Linked DNA regions of Drosophila melanogaster. The protein of the gene in region 1 interacts with the protein of each later gene in a pairwise test. Each region holds a gene or a part of one and is shown in the gene's direction. Other genes may lie near its edges. The genes, in order: Lmpt, synr and Ccp84Aa.

What was found.
Region 2: the proteins of Lmpt (region 1) and synr interact in a two-hybrid assay, tested with the Drosophila melanogaster proteins (2 studies listed by BioGRID).
Region 3: the proteins of Lmpt (region 1) and Ccp84Aa interact in a two-hybrid assay, tested with the Drosophila melanogaster proteins (2 studies listed by BioGRID).

The regions. Positions count from the first base shown.
Region 1 is NT_037436.4:16,897,750-16,902,481, forward strand, and holds the start of Lmpt (limpet), read left to right. Parts: upstream 1-1,665; 5' UTR 1,666-2,303; coding exon 2,304-4,319; intron 4,320-4,379; coding exon 4,380-4,442; intron 4,443-4,628; coding exon 4,629-4,732.
Region 2 is NT_033779.5:4,940,606-4,944,807, forward strand, and holds synr (sayonara), read left to right. Parts: upstream 1-2,136; 5' UTR 2,137-2,246; coding exon 2,247-2,339; intron 2,340-2,405; coding exon 2,406-2,675; intron 2,676-2,742; coding exon 2,743-3,143; intron 3,144-3,197; coding exon 3,198-3,383; intron 3,384-3,442; coding exon 3,443-3,629; 3' UTR 3,630-3,695; downstream 3,696-4,202. Other genes in the region: Sgs1 (salivary gland secretion 1), read left to right, coding at 1-761; mRpL24 (mitochondrial ribosomal protein L24), read right to left, coding at 3,696-3,811, 3,870-4,202.
Region 3 is NT_033777.3:6,702,415-6,705,431, forward strand, and holds Ccp84Aa (Ccp84Aa), read left to right. Parts: upstream 1-1,669; 5' UTR 1,670-1,732; coding exon 1,733-1,744; intron 1,745-1,799; coding exon 1,800-2,405; 3' UTR 2,406-2,489; downstream 2,490-3,017. Other genes in the region: Ccp84Ab, read right to left, coding at 1-317, 394-405.

The DNA.
Region 1 (4,732 bases):
CGTGTGAGTGAGTGCTCGCTGTCACGGGCTCTGGTTTTTATCGCCCGCCGCACGCAGTTCACGTTTATTGCATAGGTGCGGCAATCGCCCTTTCCAAAGGTTATGGCATTTTCATTGAACTTCACTTGGCTGCCTGTGGGAGTCGGGGATCCCGGGGATATCTATCCTCCAGCTCCGCAAATGCAGCGACTCGCGAGTGGCGATGGCAACAAAGAAATGAAGGCAGTTCATTGGCAGCACTGGCTGTTGACGCGTTGTCATCCGTCGAGCGGAAGTTCATTGCGAGTGAGCCGGAAATTTGTGGCATTCGGTTAAGGTTAGAGATTGCTAAAAATTGCTGCAGGTATTCGCAATTTGTTATTGATGTGCACAAACTGCTTTAGCTCGATTGAAAATATCCTTTATCCATTTATTTTGATTTTAAATAGATTGGGGGTGTAATATGCAAGTAAATAAATTTTTTTTATATGCGTGTTGATCGATTTTTAATTAGAAAATGTTGGATAAAGAAATTGCATTGTCTGTCGCCTTTCGGTGTTATTGTACAAAAAACCATGTTTAAATTTATTCAAAATAAATTTAAATTACCATCAGAAACACTTTCGCTTTCGTTGCGAAAAGCAAAATAAACATATGAATATATCAGAGCCCAGATGACCCATTTATTCATATAAATCTATCTATTTTTGCCACAATTTCTAATGACAATCAGATGATGAGAATAAACAAAAGAATACAAAAATAGTTTGGCTTTGTGGGGCAAAGAACACAATTATGCCGCGTTTGACAATAATTATACTGATTCTGAAAACGCAGAAGAGAACCACAGCGAAATCGGCGATAAAGAGCCTCTGAAAGCTGCTGGCAATGTTAGTGTCAGTGCCAAGACGAAATTTATGGCAAACATTTGTGTGCAATCCGCTCGGAGGCGGCGAAATGGGGCGTGGCGACCCTGGCCCCAGGCGCTGGCAATGCCAAAGAAAACTGATTTGCAAACACCAGGAACAGTAAAAGTCATGCCCATAAGAATTACGAATGCTAAAATATATTTTTCCCACTTTCGAGAATACCAAATTTTATTGGCAAAATAAACAAAAGAATTGGGCATTTTATAAACAAAATTGTATCTCAACATTGTACTCTTAAATGTTATTTTTTCTAAAATCGGAGATACGATGTGACCATTAATGCCAAATTAAGCATTTTTATGGAAATTGGCACCTTAGCTCTGTATATTATTGCAGCCAACTGTGCGTCTGAATAATATGTGTGGTATGCAGTATAGAAAGATCATGTTTTTCAGAAAATACTTGATTTTTTATTATTTTAAAATATCAAAAGAAACATTTTCTGATTAATTTTGATAAATTGAATTTTTAAACCTGAATAAAAGGATAGGAAAGAAAAGATCCCTAAATCTTGATACTTGCTTGAGATTAAAAAACTCTTCATTATGTTATCGAAATGACAGTTGCATTTGATTTTCCCTATCCGATTTATGGTCATGTCGCTAACTGTTCTCCCGCACGAAAACGGCGAGCAAAGCAGAAAGTGGCGAAAAGTGTTTTGTGGAAAACAGCAATCGAAGCATAGACCAAAAATAGTTCCCCCCAAACGAAAAGGGGGCGCGGCCGGCGGGGTGTCGACTAAACTGATTAGAAAATCGGCTTTGGCCAATTCCGATTGCTTTGGCATTTGACACGGAGGCAAGGCAGTGCAACAACGGCAGCGGACAGAAGCAGATACATTTGTGTTGCCAAATTGCCAGCGACAAAAGTCGGCGATGTCTTGTCAGCTCTACAGGCCTTTTGCTCTCATCGCTGGCCGTCAATTAGCGCCGTTTGCCATTTGAACGGATTCGGTTCTTGGCGGTTCTCTCGCCGCTGATTCACTTGTTCTCTAGAAATCGGGGGACCCATGGGCATTGGCTGGGGCATTAATCAGTTGCAAGACGATCGATTAGCGGAAAACAAGAGCTCGCCGCCCGAGCAACTGCATCCGCCTGGCGAGTCCGCCCATCTCCGATTCTTCTTGCTTCGCGCTCTCATAAATCGTCTCAAAACGTAGATAAATGAATATATATCGATGATTGGTTCAATGATTTGTGAGCGAAAGTGAAATAAATATTTTTCGAATTACCTAATCGGCTGGCCATTAACGTGAGTGGTGTGAATTTTCGAGTGCGTGGTGAATATATTTTATATAATACGTGTTAGCCGATTCGGTTCTCGTCGACACATACTCTCATTGCATCGGCGAACGTTGGAGGATTCGGATTCCGTTTCGATTCTGGTCATTACGCAATGGCCGCTGAGGAGACGGCGCTAACCGGCGTCGGCGAGCTACTATTCTCGCTGCTAATTGGATACCTAGGTGCCCTGGAATTCGCCTTTGTGGCGCGCCATCTATACCACTGGACTTTCCAACATCCCGGCGATTCTTCTGTAGATGCAGCAGCTGACGCAGAAGAATTGCCTCGCATGCGAGAGCGATTGGATAAGCAGATCAAGGAGGCGGCGGAAAGGGAAGCCCTGGCAGGAACCAATGTCATGCAGGATGGTGTCCTATATGTCAATGGAATACGAGTAGATCCTGCTGGAGATAAAAGACAAGCTTTGGCAGCCGAACTGGCACGTCAACAGCAAATTGAAGCCGATACGAGGCGTCAGCTGGCCGAAGCCGAGGCCAAGCTGGTAGAAGAAAGACTACGAGTCCAGAGGGAGAAAGAGGAATCGGAGGAGCAGCAGAGAAAGCTCGTAGAGGCGGAAAGACAGCGCGAAAGAGAGCAGGCGGAGAAAGAACTGCAGGAACAAAGAGAAGCCGAACGCAGACAGCTAGAAGCAGAAGAAAATCAGCGTAAACAGCGCGAAAACGAGGAGAAAGAACGCCTAGAAAACGAAAGAAGGCTGATAGATGCCGAACGGGAAAGGGAGGAGAATGAGCGAAGACTGCAAGAAGCTGAAGAGCAGCGCGAGCGAGAAGAAAGCGAAAGAAGAATCGTCGTGGCAGAGCGTCAGAGAGAGCAGGCCGAAGCCGAAAAGGAGCGAGCCGAACAACAAAGGATCCTGGCTGAAGCCGAGGCAGCGCAAGCCGAGCGTCGTCTCTTTGATGCCGAGATTCAGCGAGAGCGCGATCAAGCTGACGAAGAAGGGCAAGCACTGAGGGATGCGGAGATCGTAGAGCGTCTTCTGGCAGCAGAAAGAGAGCTCAGTCCAAGCGCTACAGAGAGCGAACTGGAGGAGGATGCTGCCATCGCAGAGCAGTCGCGTCGCCTGATCTCCAGCAGAACTGATCTGGAGCAAAAACAGCGAATGATTGAGGAAAACGCCAGACGCTTTCTTGAGGCAGAAGAGGAGATGGTAATGTTACAACAGCGCCAACTTCAAGCCTCACACAGCAAAGAGGAGGCAGACGAGTATGCTGGCATGGAACCCGTGGTGGAGGAGCTGTGTGTGAAGAAAGTGGCTCCACCCAGGTTTCAGGAGCCTCCAGAAGAACCCATGGTGCATAAAGTGAAAACTCAATTTGGTCAAGGAAGTGGTCCTGAAGACGCCTACTCAGCAAAGTCAAAAACACTCACCTTCCCTGGCGTATCGGATGAAGGATCCTCTCTTGAACCCAAAACTCCGTTCTCCATCCAGCAGTCGTCCTTCAGCACGCAGCCCTCTGATGAGGGCAACAGAATCGAAAGTGAACGCCCAGAACCTGAAGGAGAAGATCAGATACAGGAAGTCCAGTACACCGAGGACTACCTTCGTTCTCTAGATGGCATTAAGAATCGTCCTTTGATGCGAGAGGATGGTTCAGGGAGAAGAAGGGCTTTTAAGAAGCGACGATCCAGTGGAAGCTCGAACTCCTCGCGGGAATCGCGAGCCTCCCGCGACGAAGAACTAAAGATGTTCACCTCGCTAGAGGAGGAGGAGTTGCGCCACGGCGACCGAGAGGACTATAACCCCATCAAGTATACGAGCGAACCTACCCTGAGGGTTAAATCCCACCGACGTCACAAAAGGAGTCCAGCAAAGGATGTTAGACCAACGGCAGAGTCGACCACATCCTTAGAGATGCTCGGTGAGGAGAGCACAAATCCCTGGGGTGAGGTTGTGCCGGAGCATTATAAGGATACCGAGTTTTGGAAGCGGGAAAAAGCGCTCTCCATAGACGAGGAGGAAATCGAACTAGAAAGACCATCCAGGGGAGAGGATGTGGAGGAAGAAGCTACAAATGAGCCAAAATCGTCCTCCTTTGAAGAGGCCACTGAGGCACAAAACGAACAGGCAGTGGCTGCCCTAAAACAACAACTTTCCAAGGAGCAGTTGGTGAGTAAATGAATCTACAAGCCGAGGATCTATATCAATGATTTATTATGTGTGTGTTAGGACAAAGAAGCGGAGAAGGACAACCCGCAAGCAGTGGATACCAGCGACAGCAACAAATCCAATGTAAGTGCGTAGCACAGACACCTGGCATCATTTCTCACCCAATAATTTCGACCACAACCTAATCCACCAATCGCAGACACCACTGCCGCATAACTAACTGTCCTAACTGCTTTACCTCTTTGCTTTTCATATTGCTACTGCTCCCACATTCCGCTTGCTTTTCCGCTTCACCTTTCCCCCAAAAAGCTGCAAACCTCTATCGCAGCAGAGGAGCAATCAAGGGGTGGTTCACCTGGCTTGCGACGCAGTCCACGTATGGATGAAATGGAGCATTATCCGGAGCGCTGGTC
Region 2 (4,202 bases), on another chromosome or scaffold:
GCCCAACGACGACTACTCCTAGATCCACAACAACACCTTCCACAAGTCGCCCAACCACAACTACTCCTAGATCCACAACAACTACTTCCACAAGTCGCCCAACGACAACTACTCCTAGATCCACAACAAAAACTTCCACTTGTGCCCCAACGACAACTACTCCTAGATCCACAACAACAACTACCACAAGTCGCCCAACGACAACTACTCCTAGATCCACAACAACAACTACCACAAGTCGCCCAACGACAACTACTCCTAGATCCACAACAACACCTTGCACAAGTCGCCCAACCACAACTACTCCTAGATCCACAACAACAACTACCACAAGTCGCCCAACGACAACTACTCCTAGATCCACAACAACACCTTGTCCAACTACAACACCATCTGCAAGTCCTACAAGAACAACAACAACCCGTCGTCCTTGCCCTTGCCATCCCCAGCCTCCTTACCAGATTCCTCCTTGGTCATGGTGGTATCCGAACCCGACCTACCCCAATCCCGTGTGGCCCTGGCAACCTAACCCAGTCGTTCCTCAATGGCCACAGATGCCCGGATATCCAAATCAGTGGCCACAATTACCAGGTTATCCCCAGCAATTACCACCGCCGTTGCCATCACCTCAGTGGCCGTGGTCTTGGCCAAAACCACCAGTAGTTCAACCTGGCGACTGTGAAAACATATGCGAAAACCTACTGAAGGGAGTAAAATATCAAGAAGATCTCATCAGAAGGTGCTTGTGCACACGAACATAATCCTTTAAAAAAGAATCACGTAATTGTTTTATTAAAATGTTGTCTATTTAAAAAAATAACTTAAAACAAAGTTTTGATGGTTAAAAATATCGAACGGGTATGGTATGGATGTAGGTTTGATGATATTGAATGGCAAGTCTATCCTTCAGAAGTGGGAGGAAGGATTATGGATGTCACAATGGCGCATGCGCCTATATGGTTTTTGGATTCCCATGTTTTGCTTAACACTTTCGTCCCTGAGAAGCTCAGAAAGCTTGGGCGCCATTCATCAACAAGTTTGCATTCGGACTTCAGCACTCTAATCGACACTTGACTACATTATTACTTATTTAAACGCAATCATTTGACCCATTATTTTCCGACGCCTTTGCGTTTGGTTGCACTGCATTGCTCATGCGACATATGGTCGCACTATATGTTTGGAGCACACATTCGGACAAGTTTAATGACCAATTGCCAAGGGATTGGAGAACTCACTGCTCTTCGAATTAGGTTAGCACATTAGCTGGTTAAGGACAAACGTGGATTGAAGTTAGGATGGGGAGAGAAACAGGAAAACTTAACGAGTTCTAGCATATGATAATGTGTACAGCCATAAACTTATAGCTAACATCGTAATCCGTGCACAAGCTATTAAAAACTTCAAGAAGATATGTCCCTAAATTTTTCCAATAGTAATAAATATATAACCAAATTTACTCTCTCTGTAGGGCATACTACAATCCTAATAAGCTATAAACACTCCAGAGCAGAGCCTCTAATTTGCTGGTAATTTATCAAAATCTAGATTATAATCCTGCTGATGGATTATGTTTCGGGTCGATTAGTACCCCAGTTATAGGACTACTAGAGTTCGTCCTTCGTTCAGCTGAGCTTGCACATTTCCTACACAATAAGCAGATGTTAATGGCTCCCTTCTTTGTTGTTTTTGTTAACTTGTTAATACAAATACACCGTGTGCCAATTCACAAATCCAACAAGGTATAGTGGACATGCCAACAAAAAAGCTAGCAAAGCAAATAACACATTGTTGACAAACAGCGGGCTATTGGGGTGAACCTTCAAAAATCTATTGAACAAAAGTATTACTCGTCATATGTATTGTAGCATTTTAATTAAGGAAACATGTATTTTAATCAATATAACTTAAACTTAAAGATAGTAATGGTTGCACATGTCGTATGCGCAATTTTCATGAAGAGTGGTCCGCTCTAAAGGACACATACGTGGTAACAAGGGGGCTACGCTGGCCCCTGTCCCCACCTCCCGAAATGGTTTGTGGGTGGATTTGGTGTGGCCCTGTCCAATGGCTAGCGCGCAAAAATAATTTTTGTTATTGTGTTTTCCCTCATAAGTGGACATGACGGACCCAACGAAAGCTCATTCAGCGCTGGACAGGCGAACTGGAAAGGTCTAAGACGGAAGATGTCATCGCCGGCAGAGCGGGCGAACTTCGTGCAGCACTTCGGACAGACAACCTGAGTGATGGGCTGTGGCTCCTCCATGGATACGCAGACGAATCCTGTCGTCACGGAGGTCAGCTCGGAAATGCAACCTCGCCAGAATGGCGCCTCTGGAGTAATAGCACTTGAACAAGTCGTCTTACCTTTGCCATAATCAATACCTCTTCCATTTCGTCATCAGAATGTGGTCGAGCAATATGTGCGCCTGGACGAGCAGATCAGCAAGCTGGAGGGCACATGTCCTGGTCCTCGAATGGCCACCGCCGAGGCCTGGGTGGAGCACATTCAGAGCAAGCACGAGGCGATGCTGGGACTCGATGGCATGGGAGTGTCTCCTTTGCGCGAGAGGGAATGGGAAACCGAGGAGGCCCTGCCCATTCCAGCTTACACAATGGGGGGGCGGCAGGGCGACCCAATTGTGGCCAACACGCCCACCAAGGACCTGGCCCAGGTAAATGGCCTGCCATTAGTGAATGTGATGAACTTCCCTCAAGTATATTATTACCATTCGACTTTAGCTTGCCTACAACCTGGGCGTAATTGGCGATGCCCGCAAGGCTTCCATGCACGAGGATTTCTTCGCCAACCTGAGCGAGTCCGCCATGTATTTGCTTAGCATTCGTTACTACGGCGAGATGTTGGAACACACTAAGGTGCGTCTAAAGACTCTGGCCGAGAGCTATGCAGAGCTGAACGAGCTGTACGTAAAGCAAGACGGGATTATAGCGTATATAAGCGGGGGAACGTACATGACTCGGCTGGAGGAGAGCATTGATGAGCAGCTTGAGACGGCAAGAGATACAAGGGATAAGCTGGGCAGCGCACTGGAGCAGTGGCGCATCTGTGGATTACTACTTAGAGCAGCCGCGAATTCCTCGACGCAGGCATTAAAACAATGGCGACAGCTTGGACGGATAATGTGGGTAAATTAATTCCCCACTTAGAACTTGTTGACATGTTATTTCTCGTTCAGAGATCCCAAGCAAAAGCTTCAGTGGGCGTTGGACTGTCGAAGTCTGTTACACGCCTCCACGATATCCCTAGAGGCGGCTCAGCTGGCTCTGCCGCACGTGGAACTCAAGTACATGAGTCATCGGCAAGTCCTAGCCGTCAAGCACTGCAACACCTACCTAATCACGGATATAGCAAACAAAGCGCGGTAAGTTAATATATAGATTTCTCTAGAATCTTCTACAAAGGGAAACGAATCCCTTTTAGGTACGAGCACACCAGTCGGGTCTTCACCAGTTACGAATCAAACATGTCCAAAACCTGCACGTGGCTCTACGAAACCTTTAACAGCACGCTGCGCCCAGACTACGACAGGGCGGAGGAAACTGTATGCGGGCTGGCCAAGACGCTCCGGGATCATCGCGAGGAGGTCTTCAACACGGTGCGCAAGTGACATTAAACTTATTGCTCAATTATATGGGTATTTTGTACATTACTTTAATAAACAGTAGGCATAACATTAGTACCAATAGCTCTTGACTGGCGTGCGTTCCTCTTTGATGCCCATTTCCTCCATAATGTCCATCTCGAATGTGGACAACTTGGGCTGAAAGGTGATCTCGCCCACAACAGCGCCTGAAAAGGACAGACTTGTATGACTAGGAACATATTGAAATGCGATAATAGCCCATACCTGGCGTATCCTTCTCCCTTTCGATATAGGCGTTTGGTGTTTTATAATCGTGCGTCTGGTTGTTCGTCTCCGGGATGGGTATGATTCGGCCAGATCGCAAGGACACCCGCACTTTCTCGCCCTCCTCCGTGAAACGCCACTCAAAGTCGGTGCCCTGAAGATCCGATGGGTCAACCAGACGAATGTCCTTGGTGACGTGCAAAGGTGCCTCGGACTTGATAATGATACCGGGAAACTCCTTCTCACCGCCAACCTTGCGATAGTGCCAGTTCAGGCCCTCTACAATTACCCAATTGCGCTCGGGTATAACCTGGGTGACAATTCCCTGCTTTC
Region 3 (3,017 bases), on another chromosome or scaffold:
GGATCGGCGGTGTACTGGACGGTCCTCTTGTAGCCGTCAGCGTCGATCAGGGAGTACTCTCCGCGTACCACATCTCCATCGCGCTCCTCCACCTGTCCCTTGTTGTCACCGGTTAGCTTGTCATCGACTCCGTAGGAGAAGCGGTACTGGGGGTGGGGGTCGTACTCCTCGGCGGCCTTGACCACGACCTTTTGGGCGACGGCCACGGGGGCGTGGGCGTAGGTGGCCACCGCTGGGGCAGCATGGTACACCTGTGGGGCGGCGATGGGAGCATAACCGGCGCTGGCCACGGCGACGAAGGCGAGGGCGAAGACAAACTAAATTCAAGAGCGTTAGATATCCAACCGGAATTTCGTATACAGTTGATCCCGGATTTCCATCGAGATGACTCACCTTGAAGGCCATGTTGCTAGGAGTGCTGATTGGTAGTTCTTTACAGAAGTGAACTGGATCTGCGAATGATACTTTTCTGTGTCCGATCGACAACTTTTATAGTAAATCAAGCTGCCAGCTCTGCTCTGCTTTGGCCCAATACGCCGACAGCACGTGTTATTTTCGCGGTGACAGCGAAATATATTAAATGCTTCTCGACTGCGATTGTTGTCGGGCAATAACTTGTACTTCCTGTTCGTGGCGCTAAGCTCAGTGGGTGTGCAAATGCTTGTGGCCACAGATTCTAAACCCGTCAGCACCGAAAGAGTGAAAGATCTTTGGGGAAAGGTTTGCGTAATACCGAAAGGGCTTTGCCGGCCGCAATGTGTGGCTAATTACTTTGTTATATAACGCTGTATAAGATCGCTTTAAGAAGATATACTGATCATATATTTTTTTCTTACAAAGCAAATCGCAAAATTTTGATTAGGTTTTTTTAAAGATTTTCGAATCTTTAGAGTTCACTGTGCAATCTGATTGATATTCTTTAAATACTCTATACATATATGATTATAATTATACGAACGGATTTGCAATCTTAAAGAGTTGAATGAACTTTACACTGTGCTGGATAAGAAAAAACTCTTGAAAAAAGATTAATATTTTTTGAAATTGGTTGACACTACAAAAACTGTGGTTCTAAAAACTAAAAGCTAAGTTGGGTCTGCGTTAGTGTCCTAAGGAACACAACTACTTAGCTACATCTAAATACCTAACATTCTATTTACACTCAGATAATAATTTATCAGATACACATTTAAGAGTTTGGCATTTATGGGTCTTAGAACATAAACGTTAAAAATATATTACACAATGCATTATTTTTGTACAATATATAGAAAATCGCTGCTTCATTCAAAATAAATGCCCTTTTGCGAAGTCTGTGGGAATCAAGGCCACCCACCAGACATCCACGATCCCATCCTTAAAATATCTTGGATAATCGAAACGCTATTAGCAGATGCAATCCATTCCCAACTACCAATTTTAACGTGGGCACCGCGCGAATCCGCCGAATCCTTTCTAAATAATTGGACTGCATCTCGCATTCGCAAATCCCTTCTCCTCTCTTGGTTCTCTGCCGGCGTCTCTGCCGACTTTGCCGTTGACTTCGCAGAGCGGTGACTTCGCGCTAATTTGGAGCATGATATTCAGAAGGCCAAGCGTAAGCACCTTGCTTCACCTGAGCAGAAACTGCAAGCGGGAGCTATAAAACCGCTGGCCGGCCAGAAACCGTATCATTCAGCCATCAGCACCGTTTCCGCAAAGAACTAACCCACGAATCCAAAAACCCTATAAAATGGCATTCAAGGTGAGTCCTGTGGTATCCCACCAGAACCCGTTTCTCTAACGAATATGTTCCCCAGTTTGTCTTCGCCCTCGCCTTCGTCGCCGTGGCCAGCGCCGGTTATGCCCCCATCGCCGCCCCACAGGTGTACCACGCTGCCCCAGCGGTGGCCACCTACGCCCACGCCCCCGTGGCCGTCGCCCAGAAGGTCGTGGTCAAGGCCGCCGAGGAGTACGACCCCCACCCCCAGTACCGCTTCTCCTACGGAGTCGATGACAAGCTAACCGGTGACAACAAGGGACAGGTGGAGGAGCGCGATGGAGATGTGGTACGCGGAGAGTACTCCCTGATCGACGCTGACGGCTACAAGAGGATCGTCCAGTACACCGCCGATCCCATCAACGGATTCAACGCCGTTGTCAACCGTGAGCCCCTGGTCAAGGCCGTCGCCGTTGCCCCCGTTGTGAAGACCGTCGCCGCTCCCGTTGCCCAATACGCCGCCCCTGCTGTCGCCCACTACGCTGCTCCCGCTGTGGTCAAGACCGTGGCTCCAGTTGCCCACTACGCTGCTCCTGCTGTGGTCAAGACTGTGGCCCCAGTGGCTCACTATGCTGCCCCCGCTGCATATGCCACCTATGCTGCTCCCACCCACTACGCCGCCCCCGCTGTTGCCTACCACCCCTGAGAACTGACATTCCACATTGCCCAGCTCTTTATTGTTATAGTTTTACGAACGACTTCTATATATATAAAAATATATTTCACATTTAAAAAGGTTATATCACTGTATCCTATCCAAAGGATATGTATTTCCTGGGGCTCAATTCGATTCACGAAGCAATACAATTTATTGTAATTACTTTTGCTTCGTGAGGGCTAAATTAGAGTGGCTGTGTGGCCAATTAATTGAATTAGGCTGCGACATTGAAATTCCAAATTCCAAAATTCCAAAGTTTTAAAGTCAAATTGAATTTTTTCTTTCAATCGCTCCATTCCATTGAGATATCTATGATGTTCGATTCGGGTCTGGACGTTGGCCAATCCTATCAACGAATAATAAATCATAATCAGATCGGTGTGAAATATTCATGTGTGCTTATAAAAGCAATTAACGGATATATAATATAAACGATTTTTTCGTTTGCCGGATTTCGATTTGATTTTGCTAAATGGAACTTCAGTGACCGGCTTTCCCATTCCCCTCTTTGCTCGTACCTATTACCATTAATTTTTTGTATTTAAACAATAGAATAGACTGACTACAAATAGTACACTTCCAAAAAACTCGTATAGAATC